Linked DNA regions of Arabidopsis thaliana. The protein of the gene in region 2 interacts with the protein of the main gene of each other region in a pairwise test. Each region holds a gene or a part of one and is shown on either strand. Other genes may lie near its edges.

What was found. Proteins that work in one complex are often made in the same cells at the same time.
Region 1: the proteins of CZF1 (region 2) and AT1G72570 interact in a two-hybrid assay, tested with the Arabidopsis thaliana proteins (one large-scale study listed by BioGRID).

What each region holds. Positions count from the first base shown.
Region 1 is NC_003070.9:27,329,678-27,334,917, reverse strand, and holds AT1G72570 (Integrase-type DNA-binding superfamily protein), read right to left. Parts: upstream 3,538-5,240; coding exon 3,450-3,537; intron 3,355-3,449; coding exon 2,757-3,354; intron 2,578-2,756; coding exon 2,495-2,577; intron 2,369-2,494; coding exon 2,360-2,368; intron 2,204-2,359; coding exon 2,115-2,203; intron 1,885-2,114; coding exon 1,811-1,884; intron 1,708-1,810; coding exon 1,657-1,707; intron 1,556-1,656; coding exon 1,479-1,555; intron 1,399-1,478; coding exon 1,220-1,398; downstream 1-1,219. Other genes in the region: AT1G72580 (uncharacterized protein), read left to right, coding at 216-512.
Region 2 is NC_003071.7:16,769,625-16,775,972, reverse strand, and holds CZF1 (zinc finger (CCCH-type) family protein), read right to left. Parts: upstream 3,977-6,348; 5' UTR 3,720-3,976; intron 3,445-3,719; 5' UTR 3,437-3,444; coding exon 1,643-3,436; 3' UTR 1,239-1,642; downstream 1-1,238. Other genes in the region: TBL28 (TRICHOME BIREFRINGENCE-LIKE 28), read right to left, coding at 86-462. UniProt on the Arabidopsis thaliana protein: Involved in salt stress response. May positively modulate plant tolerance to salt stress.

The DNA of each region.
Region 1 (5,240 bases), on a different chromosome or scaffold from region 2:
TTTCAATCCTCTTTACTCAACCACACTATATTAATTAGGTAATCTATAATTTATGGGGAACAAATCTTCTTATCTCAAATATTAATTGTTATTTTTATTAATATAAGCCACCCCACACTATAAATATGTTTGTTCTTCAACTCTCATTTACCACCATTATCATCATCTCTCTATCACGCACACATATTCTTCCTTTACCTTATTTTATATAAGAAATGGCTTCTTATGAATCACAAAGAGATGTCGCTGAATTGGCGACCCTTGAACAAACTAAAAAGAATGTGGAGGATGTCGAGGAGGTTCTAAAGAAACTCGAACAAACTTATTTGGGGAAGGAAAAAGTCACAGATGATACGCTTTTGAGTGACGAAGAAATGGAAAAGTTCAATCAGATGATGAACTGTGTAAAACTTCTGAACAATTGTTTGACAAAGATAGGACAGTCATTGCCGCTAAAAGAAGGAGAAAGAGAATTAGTTGAAGTTGAAGTTGATTTCAAGAATATACCCTAATTAAATGTTGAATCATAACAATAACGATGATGGTGATATATGTCATATGTTGGTTCTTTTTTTGTTTCTTGACGGCTAGATATTTGTCCGGCTTTGTAACCGAGCATATAAATAAAATAAAAATTATATAAAAAGTTTTTTTTTTTTTTTTAACATCTGATATTACTTTAGTTTATCTCAAGAAGTCCATAGAAACCTTCAAATTTCCATTGACACCAATTATTTTCACCATGGCATGAGGGAATTAGCTCGATACGGGTTCAAAATTAATCAAACTATCAAAGGCTTGGATGGATTTGATTATGAGTTAAATAAGTTTCACTTAAATTTGTAACGCTTTTCCTTAAAGTACGACCACGACAGAAGAAGGCACACAAATTGAGGAATCGCCTCTCCTCAACTTGGTGCAGTTAATATATACTAATTAATTAACACTTATGTTATGGATCCTGTAAATAATGAATGCATTAACTTTTTTCAATTAAAAATAAAAACGAAATTTAATCAAAGTATATCATAGAGAATAATATATAGTGGATTCTGATAACTTAATTTGCTAAAAAAGTTGTATATATGTAGACCGGCCTCAATTACTTAGGAATATATGTTTATTAAACCATAAATGATTAAACAGACTGGACGAACTTATTTCCTCAAACCAACCGTACGTGGGAATAGTCTCTCCGGCGAGGAGTTTACGGTGTCGGTTAGTGGCCGGCGCCAGAGCTGGTGGGAGAATGTTTGGCCTGGTCGCTATCAACAATCGTTGAGCTTGAACATATCCTCTTCACGTCATATCTATTTATATCGAAATTGGTTACAGCGTTTAGGCCTCTGAATTTAATTGCCGCGATATCGTACGCCTCCGCTGCTTCTTCTTGCGTGCCTTCATCATAGTTACAAAATGTGATATTTAATAATTCAAAGGCTATGATATAATTCCATATGTATAGAAGTGGTTCATACTAAATGTTCCAAGGTACAAGTCCTTGTTTCCAGCAACTCTTCCAATTCTGGCTTGCCACCTTCCATGTTGATGATGCCTACATGAGTTATACATGCATGATCATCATGATCTAATTCCATGCATGTACATGTACATATATAAATATATACAAGTTTCACATATATGTCCAAATCAAACCTTGTAACTCCTCTATACACGGAAGCTCCCCTCGAAAACCCGCTGCTATTCCTATGATTATGATATGTAATTACAAAGCGTTTGTTAATGGTTAAATGCATATGACTATATAAGGTCCATAAATATCATTACAAACCCACTGTTGAGTAATTACCTCCTCAACATGGCAACAAATTCTTGCCGATTCATGTTATTGAGTTCCTCGATCTCCTTTTCGTAATTACTCAACTGAATAAAAGAGCGTCAAAGGAACTGATATCACAAGCCAAATCTATGTAGTTCCATCAAAATCAAGTCAATAAAATCGGAAAATGATTACATTCAAGATCCAAAATATCGAAATAAGTATGGAAACTGTTATGTTGCATGTATATAAGTGTACATATATAAAACACACTTGCATGTAATAAAGGAGTTAGAAGTGGAGCTAGGTACGGGACCAGAAAGATCAAACTCACAGGGAAATTTAAGTGAGTGGTAGGACCCCAATACTTCAGAGCCGCTAAATCATATGCCCTCGCTGCTTTCTCCTCCTCATCATACCCTCCTATTTTAGTAAGTATTAATTCTACTATTAAATGTTTTTCTATAATTATCAGAAGGTAACAAGGTTAATTTTTACTTCGAAGGCCAAAAATAGGGCAACAAGAAATGAACGAGGGATCTCATGCATAATAGGTTGTAAAATAAAGTTCTGGCTTACCAAGATACACTGTGATTGATCAAGAAGCGAATTCGAAAGTACATACGAAGCCAAAATTAAATAATTGTTAGTAAGATTATTGATGCATGATAGCATATTGAATCGGAAAATTATTTTGTATTTGTTTTTTCTGACCTTGTCTTCCTCTCCTTGTCTGTCCCTCCTTCTTACAGCTATTATCCCATAAGTGAGCTTCATATCTCCCTGTCCATCTATGCCTGTATACACGCACAACATAAATATGTGTCGACACAATTATACATAATCTACAAAATAAAATGACAAATATACATAAGTAACATAATTGTGGCATTCACATTTTTCTTACGTGTAAGTTTGAGACATCATTTAAACCAAAACAAATGTTTGAGACGTCATTATTTAATAACGTACGTACCTTGTAACTCCACGATACTGAGAAGTTCTTTGTCCATAACTATCAACCGACTTCCGAGGAACGGATTCCTTTACCTGAGGTTTAACAACCAATCTCTTCCGCTTCTCATCTACCTTAACCGGTTCTTCGACCCGTGCGGATACATTCGATTCGTTGATCAAATCAGAACAAGCCCCATGGCTCAAAGCCAATGATAGCATTGAGCCATTGGTGTTATAACCAGTCTCTTCGTTACTAAAATGACTAATATTATTGCTCGTACCAGCCTCTTCAGTAACGTAATGACTCGAGAGTGGGAATGCTGGAGTGCCTTGCTCTAACCAAGATTTGAAAACCGAGACCGAACCGACCCTCTCAAAACCTCCATAATCATTGCTAAGGTTCGGATCTAGGTTCGGGTAATGTGGTGTAACTACGGTTTGGTCGTGGAGAAGGTAACCGGGTGGGTTTAACCTGTTAACCACAGTGGTGCAGTTGACATTGGTTTGGTTATGGTTTATAGGATACTCGGTTTGATGAGAGTTTGAGAGGAGATCTTCCACCTTTGGAACGTCTTCATCATGATGATGATGATCAAAGTTAATATCATATCTCCAAACTACACATAAAATAGAAATCAAATTAAGAATATTAATAGTGGCCACACCAACAACATATATATACCAGGGGGATGATGTGTGAAGAAGAGAGTACCATCGGAACCGTCATGCCTAAGTTCTTCTTCTTCACTATTGCAGATTCTCAAAGGAGGTGTCAATGAAAATCCCAACCATTTCTTCATCTCTCTCTCTCTCTCTAGCTGTCTTTCTCGCTCTTAGTTTATATGTATAGGGTTTCGTTTTATATGATTTGTAGTCTCATACGTGCGAATATACATTAATATTTTTCATAAGTCTAAAACATTTAATAAATTATATAATTAAAAAGGTGGAAAAAAGATTTGAGACAAAACAGGTGGCGGTGAAGTTTTGTCGTAAGCATGAAAGAAAGGAAGAGGAAGTTTCTCTCTCCCTCACTCTTTCACATTCTCTTTCACACACACTTGCATCTGACTTCTAGAGTTTTGTGCCCACTCTCCCTCGGATCTTTTCGATGTATACGTATATATATATGGGAGATACACATGACACACTACAATGAAAATTTTCGTTCTTTGGTATTTGATTAACTTTTCCGTAAAAAAAGCACACAGTAGCGCTTAAAAAAGTCAGTATTTTGTTTCTTTCGAAATATGTTAATTAGACAATAATACATTTCTTTTATTAATGTCTTTCTTTCGATATAATTTGGGATATTTTTTAATAAACTTAAAGAACATTACATAATTTAAAAGTAAACAAAATTTGTACTAAAATTAGTAGTATTGCAAGGAAATTTCTCCTTAGACGATAAAAATGTGTTTTTGATTGCTCATTCAATCGATCCGTTTGAAAATGATTCTAACTGTGATGGAGAAGCCTGAAATGATCTTGCTGTTTTCGCAGATTAGACAAAGATCAATCTAAAAGATAAAAGATATATATAGCTGGAGTGTTTGGCAATATGCTATCTAACTCATAAAATTTGCCTCAAGTGTGAGAAGCGGATAATGTGACGGTATAACCTTTGAAAACAGACACACAAAATATGATAGAACAAAAGAATAAGTGATCTCTCTTATTTGGTTGATTATATTGCATATGTTGCTTATAGATAGAAAATGAAATTGTGTTCCAAGCTGTTAACCAAGACTTAGTGGGTAGTTTGTCCATACTCGCCACCCACATAACGAAATGTCGTTCTACACAAAAAGCCACAATTGTTTTCTTTAACAACTGAAAAATGAATTTGTGATTTTATATCTTGCTACGGGCATCGGAAATATTCCAACCTCTTCTACGAGGTAATCGACAATGCCATTACAGAACAAACCTTTTCTTACAATTACCTAGTTTGTAGTATACAAAATAAAAATCGAGAGGTCTTAGCTACAGAAGTTGTCTCCATGAATAATTTCACAGTAAGTAGTTTAGTTATATGTATTAATGTGACAATTTGTTTTATAAAACATTAGATTAAGAAAGTGAAAAAACACCATTATATTTGCTAACTCACAAAACATTTATACATGTCTATCTTAATCTATCAGTATGCAACACCTAAGGCCTAAGGTGAGAGAGATTCAAGCCCATGGGCTGATTTACTGAATTCAGATGACGGTTAATTTTCAATTCGCTGGCAATAATATTTATAGTTCTCTGGGAAAATATTCTGCAAGCTAATAAAAATCTGTGTATAAAAAAAAAAAAACCCTACAGCTCCGTCTTCTCTCCAGTCTCACAATTTTCCTCATATTTATAAATCCGTAAGGGAAATTTTCTAGAAACTCACCAAAAAAAAGTATTCTTTGAATTCAAAGAGAAACCCAAACTAGGGTTTCCATAATCCCTTTTCTACTATATCTCCCACTCTCATAAATCCGATCGCTAAAATCGCCACGATCCT
Region 2 (6,348 bases):
CAAACCAATCATAAAACAGACAATTGTTAAATACCAATTCGATCAAACCGGATAAAAACAGGGCATCTTGAAACATTAGCTTTACTTTGGTAAAGAACAGTCTCTAGGTTGCCATCTCCAATTCTGAAACAAAGAATCTTTCCTTCCGTTTCTTAAACAAGTCACTTGCTCCGTCAAGAACTCACACTCTTCTTCTTTATACAATGGATATGTCTTGTTGTCGAAAACCCATTGACCGGTGAACAGATCACACTCATCCGGCGGCAACTCCACAAATGAACTAGAGAATGGGTTCGAAGATGTGAAGTCAGCAATGGAGGATTTGAGGTTGTCATTGTACATGAAGATCCCGAAGAAGAAAAGAGAGAAGAAGATCACGAAGATTGAGAGATAACTCTTCTTTCTTTGCTTCATGGTCTCTCCTGTTTCAAAAAATGAAACTCTTGTTCTTGAAGGTTGCATGATTTGATAAAGAAGGAAGAGAGACTTGGTCAACAGTTATGTAAGTGTCGGCATGTGGCTCAGAGAGATAACACGCACGAAGGAAAGAGAGATAATCATATAGGAGAAAAGAAGATGGGGATTATTAAAGATTGAGAACAGTGAGTTAAAGAGCCAAGCCTAATTGGTGGACACAGAATTTTCTATAATTTGCCCTTTACAATTTTAAATGTAAAACTCTCTCTTCACATTCATTCATAGACTTAACTAATTATGGAGTTTGGCAAAGAAAGAATAAAGTTAGTCGTTTCTTTTTAAATTGATTAATGAAAGTATGCAGCTTGTGATTATATTCCTAACTTTATTTTGAGGGTCGCACGACTTAAACCAGCGACTTTTTCCTCATCCATTTTAGAAGAATTCTATTCGATAGTTCAAAATTGAGTCTTGAAATTGTTTCGGGTATTTAGCATTAACACACATCGATAACACCGGAAAAGTAAAGATTTTATGCGACATTATCACATGGTATGGTATTTTTCTGTGAAATAAAAAGTAGACCACATGTTACATGCTTTTCTTAACTCTACTATTAACGATGCTACTCTACTGATCTTTTTTCCTTCGATAACCTGAAAGAAAGATAGTGCACTGACCGTTTCTACTAGAAACCAATTAGGTATGAGTTTTTACTTTTTAGTGTCCTACACGATAGAAATTATGGACAAAATTTGACTTTGGGTAGGTTTCTTTGTAATCAGGGGTCGTTAATTAAAATTTGTGGAAATCTTTTTGAATCTAGATAAGAAAAGATTTTCAATAAATAATAAGCTGCAAGTTGTATATGTGAGGAAAATAACAAGCCAAAAAAGCTCCCCAAAATCTCTTAGGCCCATTTTTTCTAAAGCACTTGAAATACGTAACCAATAAGATTAAGATATCACAACAATTACAAAGCTAATAAGATGGATCCTTCAAAGAACATTTGAACTCATGCATCAATTATTTGCTTTTAATCATTACATAGTGTCACGAAGGACAAGAGAATGACAAAGAAAAAAAGAACATAAAAAAACATATACTAGTAACCAAACTATGGGTCAAACACAAATCAAAGAATTATTGCCAGATTTGTTAGATTCTGTGTAGAGAGGCCCAGAAGACAAAAGCAATATAAATCCCACATCTTTCTTTCTGCTTCTTATGCCACAATCTGCTGCTCATGGTCTATATACATTTGCTCTGCCCACGACGGCAGCTTAAACTTGTCTCTACTCGCTGCACCATTCACCGTATTCCCAACCCTCTCATTCACTCTCTCTGGTGCATTCTCTTTCACCAGTGAGTTCACCCACGACACATCTGGCTCGTCACTGTAGTCTCTAGCAGGGCGTGACACACTGTTGTTGTTGTTTCCATGAATGCCGAAGGAGGCACTTCTCCTCAACTTGTTCAGCTCATCTCTTTGCATTCCCCACTCAAGCTTCCCATTTGGTGATCCCCAATCGGAGACATTAGAAGCTACTGGAGCTGGTTTGAAACTCAAGCTGCGTTTCGCAAACGCTGAGGATCTTGCATTCATCACTGCAGCTGCCATGGCTGCTGAAGATTCGAATCCATGAGGAGGAGGCTGCCTCACAGGTGAAGACGGATAGTGGTTCATCTGAGAATGCCTGCTTGGTGATTGAAGTTGCATCACAGAAGCTGAGTCATATGATCCGAAAGTCTCTTCGAGGTTGGATGGCTTGAGATCACCAAGTCTCCGGTTATCCAAACCGCGAAACCTAAGTTCCATCTCCATATCCATATCTCTAGCACTCAAAGTCGACTTCAATCTGCTACCATTAAGCTGCAACGGTGGTGGTGTAAGGCTATTAACTCTGTTCTGCCATAAACCACCATTTCTTGGAGACAAAGGAACACCATTAGCCATAGGAGAGTTCATTGGCGATGATCCCAGCGTCAAAGGAGACATAACAGACATCTCAGGAGACTGATTAGACGACCTTGGTGAAACCATTGCAGAACCAGTAGAAGCATTAACCGGTCTTAACTCATCCCGTCTATGAGCAAAGAAACAAACTCTCCTAGCACAACCAGTCTCATCTTTGCAAAGCCGTGTCCTATACTGCGCCGGGTGAAGCCAAGACTCGAAAACACCGTGCGCGTACTCACACGAATCTCCTTTAGGACAAGACCCTTTACGAAACTCGGGACAAGGCACACAAGTGTAAGGATACTTCCTAGGATCTCTCCTCCTTGCATTCTCACCAGGATGAACAAAAGGACATTCAGTCCAATCATGTGAATAAGCCCTAGAACATGGCTTAACCTTAAAGCTAAACATCCTAAAATCATCAGTTCCATAAACACCTTCGTTAATATCAGGAAGTGATGCATCAGCTGGATACTTAGTCACAACACTCTTCAGTTCCTCCTCCTCTTCTTCCATAACCGAACCATGAATCCCGGTCAGTAAAACCTCAACCGCCTTTCTACTCTGGTTAGGAACAAACCGAGAATCTTTAGCCAACAAATCAACCGGTTTGTTCCCATTAGCGTCAACACAATTAGGTGAAGCAGAAGCATCAAGCAAGATCTTGATGATCTCAACGATAGAAACAGAACAGCCAGAAACTGCACAGTGAAGAGCAGTGACTTTCTCGTCACTGCAAACTCTGTTCACATCGGATCTTCCTGTGGCAATTATGTAATTCAACACTTCCATGCTTCCATACATAGCAGCAACCATAAGTGGTGTTCTTTCTTCAAAACCCATCTTCTTAGACCCGACCCGTCTGCAATACCAAAACCCTGACTCATCAATCTCCACCGATGGATTCTCTTCGATCTCTCTCTTAAACGATGAAAGATCATCACAGGCGGCGAATTCGAGGAGACACGTGGCGGAAGCTCCGTCTTCTGATTTCTGCCTCATGAATTCGACTTCTGTTAGGGTTTTAGATGAGCAAAGGTTGCTCTTTGCACCGCACATATCTCTTCCTGTGATTCAAAAGTGAAAAACTTTTAGGAGAAAGCAACAAAGAATGAGAAAGAGCAACGCAAATTGAGTTCTTTCGATTCAAAGTTTCAATTTTTCATTTTCAAGATTCTTCTTTATACACAAAATCAATCCCCAATTTAAGCAAAGTAATGAATAATTACACGACCGTTTCGTCAAAATCAAGCCATTAAAACCATAAAGATTAAAGATTTAACCAAACCCAGAATCCTGAATGAAATAGGAAAAAACAGAGAGAGAAAGAATCAAGACATACCTAGAAAAGAAGATAACTTGGAGAAAAAGAGAGAAGTAAAGATTGAAACTTTGGAGGTTTTTGGGGAGAAGAAGTGGTTGGGGTTTTTGAAGAAGGATCAAATGAGAAAGGAGAGGCTCCTTTTAAAAGGAACTTGGTTTTTACGAAGAAGGAAAGAGGAAGGTACGCTCTTTCTTTCGTCTACCTTTCTCGGTCTTCTTCTTCCTTCTTTATATCATTTTTATTTTTTACTTATCTTTGTTTTGTTTTGTTTTTTGCTCTCTTTCTACATGGAAATGGTTTAGGTCAAAAGTCAAAACTGGGAAACTTTTAAAAAAGGTAAGGACGTCGTTGTTTTGCTGACTCTTATTCAATTGTTTTAGTGTATTTTTTTTGTCTTTTTTATAAAAAGAATATTATAATATCTATCTTCCTATCTCATTGATTTTTTCAATATGGCTTTTTAAAATGATCAAAAAGCAAAGTTCATTTGAAGGGAAATAAAACAATGCCCCCATTGTATCGACTTACATAAGAAAAAGTCTCATTCCGGATGTATTTATTGTTTCTAGATAACATCTTGTTTTTGGTTAAAGTTTCTAGATATAAGGATAATGTACCCATTTGGTTTATTTATAACCGAAACCATTGTTGGTTCTCTTTAGGACCTACTAAGTTCCTAATCAATTACTTTGTTTTAATTATACAAAGCAGAAAGAAAACTCAAAGGGAACTACTACCTTACCCATCCGGTAAACTCGTTTTAGGAGATCCATTTATACTCAAAAACCCTCATTAGAAAATAGCCCAAAATTTATATGTTGTTGATGTTACTATGCATTCTCTATATGGCTATAGATGTATGTGATATCAGATTATCTACATGCATTTAGCTGAATACATTACAGGAAATAGACTTACAATTACTAAATAGTTATGTATATCTATCTGGACAATTATAGGTCACATTTCAAAAGACATAATTTAAATTTTAACATCTGACCAAATCTACAGTTGTTTATATTTTACATCTGCATGCTGTTTTTCATATAAACGCATGGGTGCCCAAAACATGTATGGGCAAAGATCCTGAGATATTAAAAAATATTGTTTTTTTCCAAGTTCCAACAGGTCCTAAGGTATTAAAAACTATTTGTAACAAAATAAGATTAAAATAAAATTACTGTCAAAAATATTAAAAAGAAATTAAAAAAGAACATAATATTTTTTTTTTTCATCATCATCAAAAAAAAATTAAAAAAAAAAAAAAAAAAAAATATTATGTTCTTTTTCATCATCAAGAACATAATATATGAGGTTGAATAAATGGTAAATGACGTTGGGGATGTGTAAAAGACCCACCATCGATCAAATCGACCGACTTAGCAGGTAACCTCCACAAGCGTGTGAGTGTTTCAATACTCTTAACACGCGCTTTCATTATCACGTTGGCTACTCTTTTTTCTAAAGATCACTATAATTAACACACAACAATCTTAAATATATTTTACATGATCAATTAAAATATTTTTGGTTCGGTAGAACTACTATTCAAACAATACATACATACTTTAAAAGATTGGTACGAATCAAAATCTATTGGTAGTAAACAATTCGTAAATAGAGATCAACTTTATCTCAGTGTTCTTATTGATAAGCTTATCTTAATGGTCTTGTAGGTATAGTTGTAATGGAGTGATTAGGGTAAAGCGAGTGAGAAACACGGGCAAGGAGAAGTGCGTGGAGAAAGAGGGAAAGTGAGGCACGCCTTCTCTTCTTTGGTGTTTGGGTGGGCGACAGAGAATGTCTTCACTTGGCCGCCCGCTTACACTTTTTCCCCCATTTCCTTAATTGTTTGCTATCAAAAAATTAATGCAACACCTTTAACTTTTGCAAAAATATACTATAGTATATAGTATTAAATATTCACTTATTTTTCTCTCGTCACATCAAACATAATGGATTAGTCCGTGGATTTGATCATTTGACTTACTCCTCATTATTCTCTACTTTTCTTCGATTCTTCTATATATCTTCCGTGGAGTTTTCGTAGTCACAAATTTGCTATTTTGTGAACTCAATTCATACTACTCCACAATTAAAAAAAAACACAAATTGATTAAGAAATCTAAATCACTAAATTACAAGAAAGTGTACTTGTTGTTGTTTATATGAAAATATAAACATAAACATACACATAACCTGTATGTATGCATTTTAACAACCTAATCCTATATATGGTCAAACTCATAAGTACCCATCATAACTCATAATTACCTTAAAACAGGCTGATAGTTTTCAATCATAATCAGCATATAAATCATATACTACCAATTAAACTGATATGTGAATTCTAACACATCCTCTAACTATCTATAGATTATGTGTGTAATTTTTTTTCGTGACATCATGTTTACCAAAAGAAAAGTGTCATCATGTTTCTGGGTAAGTCGAGTCGTAGATTTGCTGAAGAATAAGACTATGCGACGCTCCTTGGGGTCAATTTTGGTTCTTTGTTTATATGGTCAACTTATTATTATAGTAACATTTTTATAGTGAAATAATTTTGTGTGTTTTGCCTCCAAAATATTTCCCAAAACTCATCAGCAAATTGCATCAGATTGTGGACCGAGTTATCGATATCATGGAA